3 linked regions of the Nothobranchius furzeri genome follow. The protein of the gene in region 1 interacts with the protein of each later gene in a pairwise test. Links are inferred from orthologs where the notes say so. Each region holds a gene or a part of one and is shown on either strand. Other genes may lie near its edges. The genes, in order: kxd1, mob1a and microtubule-associated proteins 1A/1B light chain 3A.

The links.
Region 2: the proteins of kxd1 (region 1) and mob1a interact in binary tests that used the Homo sapiens proteins (3 or more experiments, as listed by UniProt). The two-hybrid records come from large-scale screens. The link is inferred for Nothobranchius furzeri from reciprocal best matches to the Homo sapiens genes KXD1 and MOB1A.
Region 3: the proteins of kxd1 (region 1) and microtubule-associated proteins 1A/1B light chain 3A interact in binary tests that used the Homo sapiens proteins (3 or more experiments, as listed by UniProt). The two-hybrid records come from large-scale screens. The link is inferred for Nothobranchius furzeri from reciprocal best matches to the Homo sapiens genes KXD1 and MAP1LC3A.

The regions. Positions count from the first base shown.
Region 1 is NC_091744.1:73,271,087-73,274,839, forward strand, and holds the start of kxd1 (kxDL motif-containing protein 1), read left to right. Parts: upstream 1-1,074; 5' UTR 1,075-1,222; intron 1,223-1,416; 5' UTR 1,417-1,429; coding exon 1,430-1,527; intron 1,528-1,667; coding exon 1,668-1,820; intron 1,821-1,898; coding exon 1,899-1,945; intron 1,946-3,433; coding exon 3,434-3,696; 3' UTR 3,697-3,753.
Region 2 is NC_091757.1:46,534,508-46,538,260, reverse strand, and holds the start of mob1a (MOB kinase activator 1A), read left to right. Parts: upstream 1-1,438; 5' UTR 1,439-1,585; coding exon 1,586-1,599; intron 1,600-2,923; coding exon 2,924-3,090; intron 3,091-3,753. UniProt on the Homo sapiens protein: Activator of LATS1/2 in the Hippo signaling pathway which plays a pivotal role in organ size control and tumor suppression by restricting proliferation and promoting apoptosis.
Region 3 is NC_091743.1:78,251,206-78,254,958, forward strand, and holds the start of microtubule-associated proteins 1A/1B light chain 3A, read right to left. Parts: upstream 2,258-3,753; 5' UTR 2,255-2,257; coding exon 2,089-2,254; intron 739-2,088; coding exon 683-738; intron 1-682. UniProt on the Homo sapiens protein: Ubiquitin-like modifier involved in formation of autophagosomal vacuoles (autophagosomes). While LC3s are involved in elongation of the phagophore membrane, the GABARAP/GATE-16 subfamily is essential for a later stage in autophagosome maturation.

The sequences.
Region 1 (3,753 bases):
ATCTCCTCTAGCGGAGTCCTGGCTGAGTCCTTGAAAGGGCTTGGAGTTCCTCCATCGTGTTGGCCAGTGATCTAACAATGGCCATTATGATCGATGGAAGAGATGGTTTGAATTTCCTCTTTCTCTGTCTCCGTTTTGCTCACGCTCTGCACCCACGCTTCTTGCGTTTTAGTTCATTTGGGATTTGTGGCTTCAGTTGAGGTATTATTTCAGCCTTTCCCATGTTAATCAGCTGCTCCTGATTGTAAACAGCTCGTTGCCATGGTTACGCATCATAACAAATGCTCAAAAAGTGAAAAATGCTAAAAAAAAAAATAGCAGTAAAAATCCTCCAAGCTTCACAGCACCAGAAACAGAAAAGTAAAGTGTCCAAAAAAATACAGTTTTTCTTGAGAAACTAGAAGAAAAAATGCCCAAGAAAAGGCAAAACGTACATATAGTCAACAGAGCTACTCCAATATGCAGCCACAGTGGCGCAATTCCGGAAAAAGATAAAGATATTTTAGTTTTTAAATTTGTTTTTGTTTTTACATTTTTAAAACCCAAGACAAATTTAATATGAAATGGATATAGGGCGTTTTCAATCTTAGAAGGCCAACCAAAATCTGTTTTTCAATCACAGCTTTTCAATAACTCAGCTCAGCAGTTTTATGTTTTTGAGAATTTTCTAATTGAAAATTACGGATTTGTTGGAAAAACACAAAACAAAAACAAAGATAGAAGCAGAATGGACATTAATGTTAAAGCTAAATGTGGCAAAAAGAGGAAATCAGCATGTTTTATGAAATGTTAAATTGGTATTTATAAAGTTAAATAGAACTGTACAGATTCATCTTGACTTGATGACTAAATAACTGAATATATCTCTCAATTTCAAATGAATTGTTTAACGAATTCACGGTAATATGTTGGTGGATGGATTTATAACTAAAAAAAAAAAAGGCCAGAGTCCAGAAAGTTCAATGGGGTTAGAAAAGTCAAGAACACCCCCAGAAAGAGCTAGAAAATGCCAGAAAATGACCAGTTGTGTGCACCATTATACAGCAGGTGGCGGCAATGAGTCGCAAAAGTTGAAAGATACCCGCCGAAGAAGAAAATGAACCAGAAACAGTCATGTAAACAGAAGAAACAGAAATACACGGAAGTGTTTTGTTTTTGTTTAATTTGCCTGTCAAATGTAGTGTTCTGTTGAAAACCAAGGTTGATAACAACACCTGTTGAGGTAAATGATAATATTATTCCTTTATTTTTCACGTAGTATTACCTTTAGCGCAGAAAAACCGCTCGGATGTGAATAAAACAGCCGATTATTTGGATTAGTGGATTTGCAACATTTTTCTCTCGTAATATTTGTAGAGAACTTTAAGTATTGCCATGCCTGATTTGGTGCGTGTTGTTTCGTTTATGAAAATGCAGGTTTTTCGTCGTCATGGTGGAGCCCACAGCCTCCAGTGTGTTCTGTAACAGGATCCTGAGCATGGTTAACTCTGAAGATGTGAATGCCATCATCCAAGCTCAAAGACACATGTGAGTATCAGGCTGTTCTTGTCTGTGAGGCCTGATTACACTGTGTGTAAAAATTTGAGTTGTTTTTTTATGTCAGTTGTAACGTTTCTGCCTTTTTTCTATTATGATAGTTATTTTCTGCCTAATCTTTGTTTCATCAGGCTCGATCGCTTTGAGAAAACCAATGAAATGCTGATCAACTTTAATGGACTGTCAAACGTGCGACTGCAGCAGATGAACGAGCGCTTCCTGCACCACACCCGCACCCTGGTTGAGATGAAGAAGGATCTGGATAGCATCTTCAGAAGAATCAGGTTAGTCATTACTCTGCCTGCACAAACAGGGACGCACAGCCCAACCTCTAATAACTGATCTCCTTTTGTTTCCTCCAGGACATTAAAAGGGAAGATTTCTAAACAATACCCTGATGCTTTCAGCAGTAAGTTAACATTTGCTTATTATCCAAAACAATTCTCAACTTGTAATGAGTTCATTAGTCTGTTGATTTCAATCAATGAAATCAGTAAGTGTTACCTGCATAAATTATTAACATTTCTGTTTTTATTTACTTCTTTTATGGCCTTTTAAAAGTGTTTTTCTGGCATCAAGTAGTAGATTTATTTATTTCTAAATACAATAAAACAGTATTGTTACAAACATTGAAACTAATTTGATTTCTATTCAATTCACAACTACTTTATTAATCATCATGGTAGAGAGGGGGGATGGGTGCAGGGAAGGTGCTAGTTAAGAAGATGCTCTCTGAAGAGCGGGGTCTTCAGGAGTTTCTTGAAAATTGAAAAGGAAGCTGCTGTCCAAGCACTACCAGAATAGGGGCTTGCTTTTCAATTTTCAAGAAACTCCTGAAGACCCTGCTCTTCAGAGAGCATCTTCTTAACTAGCACCTTCCCTGCACCCGTCCCCCCTCTCTACTGTCCACTCCTTTGTTCCTTCCTCTTCATGATTGATGTCAAGTTGTTGTTATTGTTGTTGTTAGCCTCAAGGGCAACATGCCGATTATCACTTGTAAGTCGCTTTGGACAAAAGCGTCTGCTAAATACATAAATATAAACATAATCACAGAGGGAAATTGATTGCTGTAGTAGCTCAGAATAATAATAATAATCAAGTCATCAAAGAGTTATTGTATATTACAATGGCTGTTGGCAGGAAGGATCTCCAGTAGCGGTCAGTGTTGCAGCGAAACTGAAGAAGCCTCTGACTGAAGACACTCTTCTGTTGTCGGACAGTCTTGTGAAGAGAATGCTCAGGGTTGTCCATCATTTTCTTGATTCTCTGGAGATTCCTGGAGATTCCTTCTTTGCATTATCTCCTCCAGTGGCTCTGAAACTGCCGAAACTCTGGCTGAGTCCTTGAAAGGGCTTGGAGTTCCTCCATCGTGTTGGCCAGTGATCTCACATTGCCCATTATGATTGATGGAGGAGATGGTTTGAATTTCCTCTTTCTCTGTCTCCATTTTGCTCCCGCTCTGCACCCACGCTTCTTGCGTTTTAGCTCATTTGGGATTTGTGGCTTCAGTTGAGGTATTATTTCAGCCTTTCCAATGTTAATCAGCTGCTCCCGAATGTAAACAGTGTGTTGCCATGGTTACACATCATAACAAAGCTCAAAAAGTGAAAAAAGCTAAAAAATAGCTGTAAAAATCCTCCAAGCTTCACAGCACCAGAAACAGAAAAGTAAAGTGTCCAAAAAAAATACAGTTTTTCTTGAGAAACTAGAAGAAAAAATGCCCAAGAAAAGGCAAAACTTACATATAGTCAACAGAGCTACTCCAACATGCAGCCACACAGAGCAGCGCAGTTCTGGGTGGTACAGGGAGTTTGTTTGTGTTGAAAAGTTTTTAGAAAACATTGTTCTTCTAAATCTCCAACAGCCATTTCAATAAATCCGGGTTTTTACTTGACAGATGTCCATGAGTCACCTATTTTGGATGATGATGATAATGATGAAGAATTTGACCCAGTACCTCCAAGTTTTGCCACGACAATCACAGCGGCCACCTCGGAGCAAAGCACCGATTCCTGTGACACAAGCCCCGATGTGGTTTCACCCGCCGTCAGCCGATGCTCAGAAGATCTCTCTCAGGAGCCTACCGACACACCAACGTCTGATGGCTTAGAGACAGGAGTTCTGCAAGATGAGGGTCCTGACTCTGTACATGAAGAATAGAGTGAACAATTTGCAAAAAAGATTTTAGTCACTCGAAACGGCTTCAAAGTAAGTCAT
Region 2 (3,753 bases), on another chromosome or scaffold:
CTGAGTATGACAAATTCTTCAAAATAAAACCACTTGACTTTACACAGAAATAGTGACTGCCTGCAAATCTAATTTCCAACCATATCAAAATTTGTCGGTAAATGAACGGTTAGTCGCCACTTGCCAACACAAACTATTTGTGTTGGCAGATTCATCAACGGGCTACACCTGGAATTTTTTTGTGTACACTGGCCAAGCTAATTCCTCCAAAGACCATGATTTGAGCTACTCCAATGTGATGGGTCTTCTGACTTTTTGATTTTTGGGCAGTGGCTACATCCTGTACTCTGACCATTTTTACACCAGCCCCACTCTTTTCACTGATTTGCCTGCAAAGAAGATTGGTTGTTGTGGAACTGTCAAGAAAGGTACAACCGGATTCCCTCAGAAGAGTGCCAACGATCGACCTGCAGAAAACGGCTGAGCGGGGGAACATCTGATGGTTAAGAAGAGACAAACTTCTGTTTGTCAAGTGGATGGACACAAAGGTAGTTAACATTTGCCCCACTGTCAATCAGGCTTTCAGTGGGCAGACAATAAAGAGACAAATAAAAAAGGGTGGTGTGTGGGAAAATGAATCCATCCCTGTTCCTAACTGCGTGGTTGATTACAACAAGAATGTAGGTGGGGTGGGTTTGTCGGATGCACTGATTTCTTCTTACAGATTGCAGTACAAAACAAGCAAATGGTACAAGGCTTTCTTCTATCACTTTGTTGATGTAACAGCAGCAAACAGTTACCTTCTCCACAAGGGGCTACACAAATTGAGACAGGACCACACTCATTCAAAGCTACTCACCCACAAAGCTTTCATGGAGCAGTTGGCCTAGGAGATACTGGAGTCTTCTAAGCCTTCAGTATTTCATTGAGGTTTGAAGCTACAGCTGCATTTTTCCAAAAGCCATGTTTTTTTTATATATTTTTTTATACATTTATGTTAGTTAATGCAATTAGTACTTTTGCTCACACTGAATGTTGCTGCATGTGGAGTCAATTAAATTTTATATTTTACGCTGGTTAAAATGGTGAATGGTCATTGTAGTCCATTCTTGTGATCATCAACATAAAATGCTTGAAAACAAGAGGCCCTGAGACTTAGTACTACAGACTTTACTCTGAACCTCCAAATTCCTTCTGTCTCTGTCAACTTGCAGACAATTTTGTATTCCCCAGTGAGTAAAATATGAGGATAAATAAACAACAGTATGACTTAACAAGCGTAAACTCAAAATAAGGAATGCAAATTTTCCTAAAAAGACTGTAAAACAAAACATGTCACTGTATTTTCATACTTTTGTATAAAACAATTTTAATAAAAATGAATTCCTCCTGCACAAAAAAAGTTTATGAGTGTCATACCTATTCTCTACCTGAGAGGGGCGCTAGACTACCCGATGAACTGCTGCAATTAGCCAACAGAGGAAGAGTCACTGTGTGGGTGCAGTTTCAGTTCAGCCAAAGTAGCCGTCAACGCTATTTAGGTGGCAGTGCTTATCCCCAAAATACGTTTCTAAAACAAAATTCCTGCCTTCTAAACTAGGACCAGGAGTTCCAGCCGAGATTCCCCAACAGCGTCTTCGTCAAGATGAGCTTCTTGTTGTGAGTAAAGTGTGAAAAAGTGCTTCCTGACTTTCAGTCGGAGAGCTTGTGGTTAATGTTAGCTGCGCTTCTTCGTACTTCGCCGACAGAAGGGAAGTTCAACCGAGACACTAACAAAAAACAGACAGCTAATCGAATGTCAAAACTACGGGGTCAAATGTAAATCGTTTCCCCTTATATGTAATATCATTTGTCGACGTTTTTCGATTTTCACCTACGTTTATTTATAACCACTTTTTGGCAGAAATAACTTGGAGAAAAAATAGTTACGCTAACTTGATTAGCATAATAATTTACGCTAACATTAAGTTAAAACTGGTGCTCAGCTATAGTGTCTTAATCTTTTGGAGATCTCCAAATGCTGAAGAAGTTAATCTCTGTCTTGTGTTTACAGTCACGCCGTTAGACACGGTCACATTTCCTGTCACTTGCAACAACGAGGTTACCACATATTACAGACATGCTTTAGTTCCTCTGAAAACCAAAAGTCACAGTTTTATGTTAGTTTAACGAATGTGTGAAAGCAGCTAGCTAATTGCACGTTTGATTTAAATATGATCTGCCACACCAAATCAAGTAGAACAAATTAACCAAATGAAGCAAAAATGCTGTAAAAAGGCAAAACACAGACGAAACCTAGAAAATAGATGTTTTTTTTAGTTGACTCAGTCCATCAGTTTTGCATCGTTTCTATTTTAGAGTGTTAACATGCGATTGAAGGTTCATTATAATCTGTTGACAGCTTTGATAATTGGATTGAAAAATTTCTCTTTAAAACAATTGAATGACGCATATACATTAATAAGTGCCGTAACGATACATTTATTAACTATCAAGTCGTATTATTCATCAAGACAAATACGCAGGCAGGAAAAGGCTGAGACTTTTTTCTTCTAATAAACTATATAAATGAGTGTCTAATTGTGCTGTAGACACATGCAGTCAATAATTTGGCACTTTAGTGCACCTTAGTTAAAATATCCTTCCAAAACGGTCAGTGTTGCACAATCGTCAGGTAAAAAATGTACACTGCATTTGAATTTAAATCTGCCATCACTATTGGCTAAGAGGTATTCTATGATGTAAGCTGGTACATTACGATGTCACAATGTTGTTGTTGGCACCTGTGTTAGTGTATTTGTTAGTGGCTCCATCCTCTCAGTCTGCTAGGTAACGGCATTTGTTGCATTTTTCAAACAGGAAGTGGGAGTGGAGTAAGACGTGTAGGGGGTGACTTGCCCTTTAAGCAGCTTTCCATAGAGCATAACACAGTCTTCCGTTGTTTACATTTATTTATTTACTTATCTTTGTGTTCTCTCTTCAGTGGCAGTCGCTCATCTAAGACCTTCAAGCCGAAGAAAAATATCCCAGAGGGCTCCCACCAGTATGAGCTACTGAAACATGCTGAAGCAACGCTGGGCAGTGGGAACCTGAGACAGGCTGTCATGCTCCCAGAGGGCGAGGATCTCAATGAATGGATTGCTGTCAACAGTGAGTGAACAAATACAAAAAGCCCTATGCACTTATTATGCAAACAAGCATTTAAAACTGTCTAGAGGCCAATGTTAAGACGAATCTTTGATGATCTTTGTAAAAATGGCTTAGTGTTTGCAACACTTTGTGGTGTATGAAGAGTACAAAGTACATACAAACTAGGGTTGTCATGGTGTGAAAATTTAACCTCACGGTTATTGTGACCAAAATTATCACGGTTTTCGGTATTATCGCGGTATTTTTTTTAAACGTGTTACATTTTCTAAATAAATCCTGTCTATCAGGAAAATATTGTCCTCACTTTGTGTCTCACTTTTGCCTAAAATGTGTTATTTTGTAATTATGTTGTTTAGTTGTTTACATTTTTCCCCTTTAGTCTTTAAAATACCAATATTTGCCCATAACTTCTTATTTTTGTCTGTTTGATGTCATCATTTTAAAAATATTAGATCAGGTGATGCTCAGTACTCAAGTAGCCTTCTAATCAGATACTTTTTTACCCTTACTTGAGTAATAAACCCTATATCAGGAAAATATTGTCCTCAGTTTGTGTCCTTCCAGTAAGCTTTGCAGATTTGGGAAAATGTCATCAGGCAGTAATCATTGTTAAATTTATAATTATTCTCGGAGAGAGACCAACTCTTATCTGCCCCTGGGAGC
Region 3 (3,753 bases), on another chromosome or scaffold:
ACATGAGGCCTTTCCTAGAGCTAGCTTGTAGCTCTGGTGCTCAATAATTATTCATAATTTCAAGCATTTAATTACAGTCAAAGAGTTATAAAATAACTCACCCCCTCAGAGTTGTCATAAATGTTAGAAAGATCAGTCAAACCTAGAATGGCTTTTTGAACCAGGCTGTAAATGTGTTTATTTATGCTGTGAAACTGGCTTTTTTAACATGGGAGTCAAAGGGAACTTGCTCTGTTTTGGTACTAGCCCCTAGCGGATGAGGGTGGAACTGTAATTTTTGGTACTTCCATGCTGGAGCAAAGCCAGCGGCCTTGATCCCTTGGTACCGACGCACACTCAGAAGCATAAGCTCGGCTTAAATAGCGCCAGATACATGGCTATAACCAAGCAGCTGGCGGTCTCTGTTTTAGTTCAGATAGTCCTCGTGGGCATGAATGTTCCGTCTAAGAGAAGAGCAAAACACTTTGCTTCCCTTCTCAGTTATCCAGCATCAATTAACAGAGGCTGCCTGTGAGGTTCACTTGAATTAAAGAGAACTGAATCCACCTGAGCATAGTCGGTGGAACCGACAGATCCTTGAGTGCACAGATGCACTTTGTTAGGCAGGCATTTATCAGGAAGGCATCGATGTTCTAAACTCGCTTTGTGGACTACCCCCCAGGTTCGTGCGTGTGCAGCTTACAGGGATCTTGTTTGGGTGCTGCTCTCGGATCTGCTGGACCTCTTTGCATCGATCAGCTGTCGACAAAACAAATAGACAGCATGATGAGATTAGGAAGTTTACAGCAACAAGAGAAGATGTGTTTTGGATTGGTGGCCATATTGCAGCCATTTTGGATGGTAGGCTTTCGACTCCGTGTGTCACTGCAGATGGCTGCTTATGCTGATCCAGGATCCTCTGGAGGTTTCTTCCTGTGAAGTCTCTGACACAAGTCAGTGACTCGATGCAACCTGCTGGGTTACTTATATAGGAAACTTTTTACTGATTGCATTAATGAACTGAACTATTGGAATGTTTACTTTGAGAAGCGCCTTAAGAGGACTTGTCGGGATTTGGCGCTTTATAAATAAACGGAATTATAGATAGGGTGAGAAGCTCAGTCATCCGGGAGGAGCTCGGACTAGACCCGCCTCTCCTCCACATCGAGAGGAGCCGGTTGAAGTGGCCCGGGCTTCTAGTTGGGGTGCCTCCTGGACGCCTCCCTGGTGAGGTTATCCAGGCACATCCAACTGGGAGAAGACCTAAAGGAAGACCCAGGACACACTGAGGGGACTATGTTTCTCAGCTGGCCAGGGAACGCCTTGGGATTCCCCGGAGAAGCTGGCCCAAGTGGCTGGGGAGAGGGAAGTCTGGGCTCCCTGCTTAGGCTGCTGCCCCCCATGACCAGATTCCAGATAAACGGAAGAGGATGGATGAAACTCATTTCTAAATGAAACCATCATAACCACGTTCTGGACCTTAGCATGGGTGTCAAACTCTGGTCCTCAAGGCCCACTATCCCACATGTTTTAGTGTTTTCCCAGTTTCAACACACCTGATTTCAAGCTTGGGCCTCCCTGCTTAGACTACTGCCTCGCGACCTGATCCCGCGATATATTTGCATCAACCAAAATAATCGTGGTTATCATTTTCGCCATTGGCCGGATGGGTCTCTTCCTGATGACATCATCCTGTGGTTCCAGTCAGAGATGTTAGGGTGTTCCAGGTGAAACTCCAGTTTTAGAGCTTTCTATCAACCCGTTCCAGGTGTTCATCTACATAGTTCTCACCTTGCTTTGATATTCATGTTTCTGACACTGACAGCTGGTCCGTTCAGGTGAGCGGGTCACTGCCAGACTCCTCCCCTCCTGTCAGGTGACCGATTTAATCAGAGAATACGTGTAGGGGTCATGTTTCAGCACAACTTGTTGTTTTGGCCTCGCGGTGGGTCACGGAGCTGATCCGGTTGTGTAAAGGCTGCGGCGTCACATTGACCCCGTTTACCGTGAAGCTACAGACCGACCATCAACACATGTAAACACGTTAAATCCGGTGTGAACCTACGCATTGAAACGCACTAACGCTAGCTGTAGACAGCACCGTCTTACCGAACGTTCTCCGCTGCTTGAACGGTCGGTCCGACGGCATCCCGGCAGCGGCTTCAGGCGAAAGAAGGTGATGAAAACGGCCCTGGGAGGGTTTCAGATGGCTCGGTCTGAAGCTCCGCAGCAGCTCCGTACAAACAAAGCCAGTAATCTGACGCGCTGACGTCATCCGCTGCCTTATGGAGGTGAGTGAGGCAAGCCAAGTTGTCATTTAATATTCAGAAAAGTTATTCAGTTCCTGTCAGTAAAATTGAGGCCGTCTCTGGATCAGATCTCTGATTTTTATCTGATTTGGTGCTAAATACTGATAAGGTCATGGTAGTGGGGGATTTTAACATTCATGTGGACATTGAAAATGATAGCCTCAGTGTAGCCTTTAGTAATATACTGGTTTTACCCAAAGAATGCATAGCTCCACCCACTCCTGGCATCATACATTAAACCTTGTGCTGATTTATGGCATAGAGTGTGAGGAAAATAACGATATTTCCACATAATCCAGTCCTCTCGGACCACTTTTTGATCACCTTTGAGTTTTTTTATAACTGAGTTCTAGAGACATGAAAGTAAATTTCACTATAGTCTGTCTTTATCTGACAAGGCTGTTGCATCTTTTAAATCAATTATTCCATCTTTACTGTCCTCAGCATCTCAGAGGACTGTAGCAGAGGGCAATATTTTCATTTCTAGCCCCTCACAAATTGATGATTTAGTTCATAATGTTACTTCTTTACGTGTGGCATTAGATGATGTTGCCCCTTTAAAAAAGGTAATTAAGCACAGGAAGTTGGCTCCCTGGTTTAATTCTGATTTACAAACTTTAAAACAAAACTCTAGAAAATTGGAAAGAACATGGCGCTCTACAATTCAATTCAAGTTTATTTATAAAGCATCAAATCAGGACCAGAGTCGTCTCAAGGACCTTCACACAGTAAACATTCCAATACAGGTCAGGTCATTAAGCCAATCAGTAAAAAGTTTCCTATTTAAGGAACCCAGCAGGTTGCATCGAGTCACCTCATACTAAGAATGCAGCGACAGTGCAGAGAAAAACTCCCTTTTAACAGGAATTTTGTGTTTCTTAGTAAACATTCTATTTGGTGAGATAAACTTTATTGTATTTATCCTAGTGAATCTATAATTAATCTGGTAAACTAGGAGTAGCACATTCAATGTCAAAGAGAGTAAAATGTTATTGTCAGGAGAGGGAGAAGTGGTTAGCAGCAGTGTGCTAGCCAATGGCCCCCTCCATGAGGCCACTACAGCTCAGCAGAACATCATTGTAGCTTCTTCTGGGGAGGAAAACACTTAAGAGTAAAAATAAAGTTAACAGCTGAAATAGCAGGAAATAATGCAGTTAAAGAGCAGATTGTAGAAGAAAGTAGTAGAGTGTGGAAAGTGGTCAGTATGTCCTCCAGCATTCTAAGCCTATAGCAGCATATCTACAGAGATAACTCTGGATAACCTAGCCTAGTCTTAAAAGTAGAGACGGTGTCTGCCTCACGGACTAAAGCTGGGAGCTGGTTCCACAAGAGAGGAGCCTGATAGCTAAAATATCTGCCTCCCATCCTATTTTTAGATATTCTGGGAACCACCAGTAAACCTGCACTCTGAGAGCAAAGTACTCGGTTAGGAACGTATGGAACAATCAGATCACTAATGTATGAT